Linked DNA regions of Neodiprion lecontei. The protein of the gene in region 1 interacts with the protein of each later gene in a pairwise test. Links are inferred from orthologs where the notes say so. Each region holds a gene or a part of one and is shown on either strand. Other genes may lie near its edges.

Evidence for each region.
Region 2: the proteins of PRKCA-binding protein (region 1) and replication factor C subunit 4 interact in a two-hybrid assay, tested with the Caenorhabditis elegans proteins (3 studies listed by BioGRID). The link is inferred for Neodiprion lecontei from reciprocal best matches to the Caenorhabditis elegans genes Y57G11C.22 and rfc-4.

The regions. Positions count from the first base shown.
Region 1 is NC_060262.1:20,832,122-20,836,055, forward strand, and holds the start of PRKCA-binding protein, read right to left. Parts: upstream 2,913-3,934; 5' UTR 2,493-2,912; coding exon 2,452-2,492; intron 2,309-2,451; coding exon 2,165-2,308; intron 1,884-2,164; exon of another isoform or gene 1,880-1,883; coding exon 1,814-1,879; intron 1,579-1,813; coding exon 1,260-1,578; intron 766-1,259; coding exon 570-765; intron 424-569; coding exon 1-423. Other genes in the region: uncharacterized protein C16orf52 homolog A, read left to right, coding at 3,559-3,661, 3,803-3,934.
Region 2 is NC_060263.1:25,723,720-25,727,653, forward strand, and holds the start of replication factor C subunit 4, read right to left. Parts: upstream 2,544-3,934; 5' UTR 2,366-2,543; coding exon 2,253-2,365; intron 1,405-2,252; coding exon 1,129-1,404; intron 300-1,128; coding exon 1-299. Other genes in the region: ribonuclease H2 subunit B, read left to right, coding at 3,450-3,537. UniProt on the Caenorhabditis elegans protein: The elongation of primed DNA templates by DNA polymerase delta and epsilon requires the action of the accessory proteins PCNA and activator 1. This subunit may be involved in the elongation of the multiprimed DNA template.

The DNA.
Region 1 (3,934 bases):
CATGTTTATTATCGAGCAATTCAAGTTTCACGAGAACATCAGACCTCAATTTAGCGAATCTCGTTCTCGCCTCCTGTCGGCATCTCAAAACAAGTCGATATTCGTAATTGCCGGTCTCTACACGGTAAAGCGGCTCCTGGAGCGCCGCGTAACTCTGCTCCTCATCGTCTAACTCTTTAACTTTCAAGCAATAAGAAAGATACTCGAATTTGGCGTCCGCGTATTTACTGATCGTTAATCTCGTGTCTGGAATGGCTTTATGAAGATATGTTCCAAGGTCGCTCAAAATGGGCTTCACCGCCTTTAGCATCGCTACTCCAAACTTTTCCATCTGTCTATGTTGCTCGCCGAATTGCCTGAATGCTTCGCTCGCACGTGGTTGAGGCTCCCTTACACCAATGGCCGCAAAAGCATCACCAAATGCTGTAATGATGGAAGTACATGCCTTGAACAATAACGATACACTCAATTTTGGTAGCTCTATTGACAATTTAGGATATCATTAGACTCAATTGTGATCAATATTGGGCAAAAGCTTTCTGCATATTGTATTAACAATTTCATCATACCTTTGTATACTTGAGTGAGATCAAAAAAAGCTCGTAGAGTGGCTTTTGCATGAGCCACTAAGCCCCTGTATAAATTTTCTGTCCGTTGCAGAGCAGCTAATCGCTGAACCAACGCATCATTACATAATATAGCTCGAGACAAGCCCAGGGCATCTGCTGTGGCACTCCCCATTCCCTCAACCAGTCTGTGCTTGACCTTTAATGACGGAAAATCCCTCTCAAAAAAATTGAATTATAAGGTTTTGCAGCCTCATTGAAAATAGTTTATTCAAGGTCAGCTAACAAACTTCAAGGAATGTTACAATTTTAGTCCGGTAAGATACGTGACGAAAATTAAATATCCTGAGAATTCACAAATTCAATGTATTGTACTTGTGAAAATTTGATAAAATTATTTTGCGAGAATCATCCATTTAAAGTTCAAAAATTCGATAACTACTGAAATTCAAAGCTCAGAAACACGTGAACCTAAATATTCAAATGAGATTAAAACTCGTAATATCAAAAATTTGAATTACTAATTGGGACTTTGTTCATACAACGAACAAGGAACATATGAATCTCATCAAACGTGAATCTATTAAGTTATCAAGGAAGTAGCAAAACAATCTGACCCTATCCGCTATGCAGAAGCAGTGTACTTTTGTTTATGTGATTATCTCAAACACTAATTTAAAATGAAACTTTCACCTTTTTCAGAGCAATATCAAGGGAACGTCCTTGCCTCGGATCAGCATGCAGTTTGTTGTAATTGATGCTGACTTGTCCATCACAAGCCTGAATCATTTTCGCCACTTCAACTTTGGTCTTTCCTTTAACAGAGGCTCCATTAACTGCAACAAGTTCGTCACCGGATTGCAGTGTACCTTCTGCAGCAGCTGGAGTGTTATCAAACACTTGCACAATGTAAAGACAAGGGCAAAGCGGAGCTCCACCTCCAATGCTGATCCCAATTAAATTGCTGCTGTCTTTCTGAATCACGACATTCCCCGAAGTTATGGTCATCCCCCTATTTGAAGGATACTAGTGTTAATAAAGATTAGGAGACGTTTAACATAATTGTTACAATGTCATTATTTGATTTATGTGCAAGTAAGTTTTTTTCATAGAAGAACATTGGCATATATATATATATATATATATATATATATATCAATTGCAGATGCAAATTTACAGTTGGCAGCATATAAGAATAAGACAAATAAATATACAATATTAGATCCAACCAATCACATGAAACTTACAGTTGGCTGTTAGGCAGCTGGGTGACAGTGACCACTTTGTCTCGTGCGACCAGTTCTATGTCTGGACTAACTCCGATGCAGCAAGCAATAAGAAAATAGCGCAAGATGCAGTAAAACGACAATTCCTTTAAAATTGGGAGCTCAAATCTTGAACTGGATGAAACGGATTCGGAAGGAAATGTTCTTCGACCACACACACACGCATACCCACGCACGCACGCACACACACATGCAGACACGCAGAGATTTAATATCAGAAATTCAAAACAATTTTCTAATTTCACACATTATACACATCTTTGACGTGAACAAACTCATTTAAATGTAATATAATCAAAATAATATGCATACATGCGATCTTCCATCATGGTCAGCTGATGCAGTTCGACGTTAGCCCGAGGCAGAGCGGTTAAAGAAATACCGAGATCTTCGTTGACTCCATTTGTATCGGTGGAAGGTATTGTGTCTGGAGGCGATAAGAAGCTGTTCGTTAGACTGTGCCGCCGAGCGGTGACAGTGGTTGAGCATGCATAAATGAATACAAGAAACAGAGATAAAGTGAAATTAACATAAGATAAAGCATGATAGAGCGCACACACACACACAAGCGATGTGTAGTTTGTGATAAGTAAACCAACATTTTATCCTCCTCGAAGAAAAAGTCGTCCTCAAATTCCATGTTGGTAACCTTATTTAGGTTATATATTTTATATTATATTCGTATAAAACTTATACAGATCGTATAAAATATATTGGTAGGGATTGATTCCTCGGTAATTACTGTACGGGTCACTTTGAACGCTGCGACATTCTCCGGTCGGCGGATATTTTCCTATTCTCACGACTTCAATTATCTTCTCAAATTCTTGGGAAGGGCTTTTTTCGATTTTGTCAAATAAGTTCAATTGCCGCCTTTAACTTGGCTCAACTTGGCTGAATCTGATCAATTTGACATTTGGATTGACATTTGCTATGGACTAATTTGCCTTCACTCATCGCTGTACCCTTTGTGTTGTTGTTCCATGCTGTAAGGCTCCGTTGTTTCAAATTTACTGTGGTTCGTTCGTCTACATGATTTGTTTAGTAGTGCCTCCATGTTCCAAAAGACGTCAGAATTAGACGAATTTAGTCGAAGTTTACGAACACACTCACACTACTATGGGTGCGTTCCGAAAATATTTCCCAGTGTTATCACGATCTTTTATCTCTTGTGCGCTGCCGAGTTTATGAGTAGCTCTGCCTCTGTCCTAGGAACTCTTAGCACTGTCTGTAGTGTGGAACGCACCCTATGAATTGATGTACGTATGTATGTATGACACACCTGGTTCATGTTTTGGATTGAAAAGGGCAGAAAGTATGTTCCCTGGGAAAGGGATTGAAGCATTGACAAGAGTATCCAGAAAATCTGAGCTGAGACCACGGAGTACTCCGTGTTGTATATCTTACTTCGTGATACCTTCATAACTCGACGTATTTGATAATAATCAACATAATAATAATAAAATCCAAACTTAAAATCCACTAAAATCGTGATCAGTAAGATAATAAACAACAAGACAGATAATATCTGTCAAGATACAAACTGACCTATGAAATCGCAGTGGAAATATTGTTTAGAGAAAATAAGTGACGCGAAATTGATTGACGAGGAAAAGAGAAAGACAATGGTGAAATCGTGCAAGGTAGCGTAAACTTCGTATCCCGCATGAAAACAAACGTAAAACGTTGTGGAACAGTACAACACGATGGATAAACTGACCATTATATCGGGGACTTTGTTTTTGGCAGCTGACATGTTCGCAATCGTCAGTCTGGCCATGCCCGATTGGATTATTACCGATGTTGGAGGTTTGCATCAATCAAGGATCACTCAAAACTGATATTATTCTCTATATGCATGTTTTGTCAATATTAAAATGAAATTACCAATGAAACAAAAATTGATTTTCTCATAACTATACTGACCGTAAAATATGCCATGATTTTTAGGTGACACCAGACTCGGATTGATGTGGTCATGTATGACGCTGTACAACCGGCCCCAAGTCTGCTATCCTCCTGACCTTCAGCTTGAATGGCTACTCGCGCTCGTCTGCATATCCATAGGGTGTATTCTGATAA
Region 2 (3,934 bases), on another chromosome or scaffold:
CTCCACCAGAAGCATCGACTACCTTCATCAATACAGCTTTATCTGCTTTCAAATTTTCCATATTGCAAATTAGTTCTAGGCGCTCAATGATTTTCTCTTGACCCAATGGCTTAAATCTGAATTTTGTGCACCGAGATGTTAACGGCTCTATGATCCGAGAGACGTAGTTACATATTAGGCAAAATCGTGTGCTGCGAGATTCACGTTCCATAGTGCGTCGTAACGCTGCTTGTGCAGCATTAGTCATGCTATCTGCTTCATCAAGAATTATTATCTTATATGGAGGGCATGGTTTACCACTGCAATGTAAAAAGAAATTAGAGATGAGTTATTACAATGCTTTTTTGTTGGATTTTCGTTTGCCAAAGGAATACTTACTAAAATTTTATTAATTAATTGCCTCAGAATAGAATAGTTGTCATACGAAATACTGAAATAACATTACATTTCTTGGGAATGATATTCAAAAAATAAATCTAAGGAAAATGCATTGCATATTTCGATAGATGTATGCTTTATAAAGATAAAAAGTCAATACTTAAAACTTCCAAATATCCTCTCAAGCAAATTTTATGTCCCGTTGTTAATAAGGGCTGTTAAGAATTTTATAACAACTCCTGAGCTCAACTGGGGATATCTTTCCACTAAATTTAACAAATGCTATTTCAAAATATTTCTCAAACCTTTTACTAAATCATCATTGGCAATAGATATTTGTAACTATTCACAGTCTCTATGTTTGCTAATTGCTAGTACTTTGCAGTGTAAATTGTTGATTATATGAAAGAAAGATCTAGGTATGTGCTACACTCATCTCCAATAATGTCAAATTTACCTTATATTACAATATATATTACACTATATCAAATATGTAAAATTGGAGATGTAGAAAATTCTAATCTAGTCAGCAGACACAAATAATCAGTCTGGTAGTTCATTAATCTCAGAAACATACATGAAGTTGAGACCAGGGGCTACAATTCATGGCCGAACGTATTGAACTTCTGTTAAATTGGTTTATAATACTTATTTTTATAAGGATTGTGTAATGTATGCTAAAATGGTTCAAATAATAATATGGATTTCAAATTCAAAGGTAGATGACATAGAATTAGTTTTTTCACTTACTCGGGTCTTGTGCCACTGGCTGTCAACTGTGCGAAAGTTTTAACTTTGTCTCTGATTACTTGGATGCCACGTTCATCAGAGGCATTTAATTCTAATATCCTATCTTTGTACATGTCCCCAAATAATTGTCTTGCAGCAGCTAATATTGTGCTGGTCTTTCCCGTCCCTGGTGGGCCATAAAACAACAGATTGGGGAAATCGCCACCAACTAGACATTGTTGTAAGACCTTGACTACTTCGCCTTGTTCAACAACATCCTCTACAGTTTTGGGTCTACTGTGGAATTGAGAAAAATGTGCTTAACGTGTCATAATGGAATTGTGACATTGGTCTACACTTTGAACCGCGGCATATTTAGAAACAATTATTTCAACCAATTGTGGCAGTCAAATTTGATAATTTAAGTATACAGCTAAAGTATTTACAGAGGTTCTTACAGTCAGGTCTCTTTTAGTGGGTAATTTATTATGGCGCAATATCTAAATTAAGCATTTCATGCCAACTGAATGAACGTCTAACCCTTATCATATTGACTTTTGAACACTACACATAATTTCACCATTTGACACTCTCAAAAAAAAAATGAAAAGATTTAATAGATAAAGATAAAAGGTACTCAACATCAGTGCAGAAGCCAGATTTCAATCAAGCTGGTTCGATGAAAAATTCAAGTAAATATGATGTAGCTCTTTCAATTTTCCTTGCAAATTATTATGAAACTACATAATTAACCTCAATTTTGGTTTGCAAGATTGAAGAAATTCAAAACTTTCTATGATCCAATGTTTTAACATAATCAAGAATCAGCATAATATGTACCGCAGAGGACTTATATTCAAGAGAAGTTTGAAATATCTATGTATTATAATTATCTAACCAAACTGCTTCAGAAGCAAGTCTCCTCACGAAACTACGTGCTGAAGATTGGGATTTCAGACGTTTTTCTAGTATATTTGTTCAGTAACCAATCCTGAAATTTTTTGCATACGAAGTTGAAAAGTTCAAGTGCAACTCATTCAATAATAACACAGATATCACGTCGTGAAAGAACTCCTTTCAAAATATTTTTTTCGTACTCGACAAATACTCATTACCACGAATAAATAATATTACTTTAGACATACTATTTTTCAACCCATGGTGGTGAAGGTCCTTTACGCTTATCCTTTGAACTCGAACTTGAAGTAGGCTTTCTGTCACTGGGGCCGAGTTTACCTCTTTTCAAAAAACCATGCATTGTGTTCAAAATTATATCGCTTGAACGTTGAATGATAGAAAACCGGCCAATGTATTAACTTCGCGCGTTCATACGTCAGTAAAAAAATTCACGGCATGCGCAAGATACGTTTTCCTATATTCATGATACTCGTGAGCATAGACTACAGGAATAACTAAAAACTGCCATAAGCAAAGGGATATCAAAGGGATATTACAAATAGAGACGCCAAGATGCGGCGATCAGCACAAGTAGAAAGTCGTGCTTGAGTCCCTATACAACAGGTCGTGCGAAGAGAAATAGTGAAAATCGATCAATTTTTATTTGCATACACACAAAACTGCTGACATTAATGTTACAATTTTTCATTAATAATTTTCCTCAATTTTATATATTGTTGTCAAATTTGGCTATTAACCCTAGAGGGATAAGATAATTTTTTTTTATGTACCTCGTTAAGTAAAAAAATGTCCCAATCTTGTAAATTCCATCTTTCTGGTACAACATATCGTTAAGGGTCCTATAAGGTCTCATTTTTTACAATTTTTAATAAAGAATCACGTAGGCCAAAAAAATTTTCGCTCAAGTTCCAAAAAAGTCCTCAAAATTGGTAACCGAAACACGAAAACGTTAGCCGTTCTTTTGCGGTGAGAAATTTACATTTGCGCGACGTGCCCCCCCCCCTCCCCCCCCCCCCGCCCCCGTTTCCGGTAAAGCAAATACTAGAGAGTTTAATTTTCCAACAAACAACATGCAATACATAACTAAATTAAGCAAATATGATAGGACGACTGAGTCATGAGATTCAATCAATCCAGCACTGGATGGCCTCTCGCATTTTCATATTTTCGGTACTAGAGGGCATTGCATGTGGTGTTCCGTCGAGTTATAGGAGATATTTTGTATGTTATGTTATGTTTTATACCTTGGCTGCACTTAGCAGTGAAAATGGTATTGCCGAACCTGCGGACAGGCCGACGGCCGGGTACTGGGTAGTTGTTAAAAATGGCCGACTTCTGAACTTTATTCCTGTATGTCTCCCCCATTACATTAAATAAAAATCAGCATTAATTATCAATTTTGTCAATTGACAACGTTGAGTAACATGCCGCGTGTCAAAGCCTCGCCGAAAAAATGCGTCAAAACGTCCAATACGCACCCGGCAGCCAACACTTGGGTGTTCCTTATGAAAGGTAAATAAAAAAAAAAGAGAATAAATAAATCAAACAACTGGCCAACTGTAGGGTAAAAATTAGCTGCAATCAATTTTTTCACCCGTTTCTTTTCCCAACACCATTATTCTCATGAATTTTTAGTCCTATGCTATTTCTTTTTATACCTGGATCAATACTATCATCGATCAAAGAACGATGCTGGTTGTTATTCTTTATGTAATTACAAAAGACTGCTACTGTCCTTCCACAATTGTTTGACCAGCATCAATTTACTGAACTTACACAAATTCCCTCCAGGAAAAATCTGAAATTACTTATTTTTTCAAATGTAAATGCCCTGTCGTCTAGTTTGTTATGTTTTGAAATGCAAATGAAAGTTCATAATTCGGCTAGAAAACTGGGGCATTGTATGAAT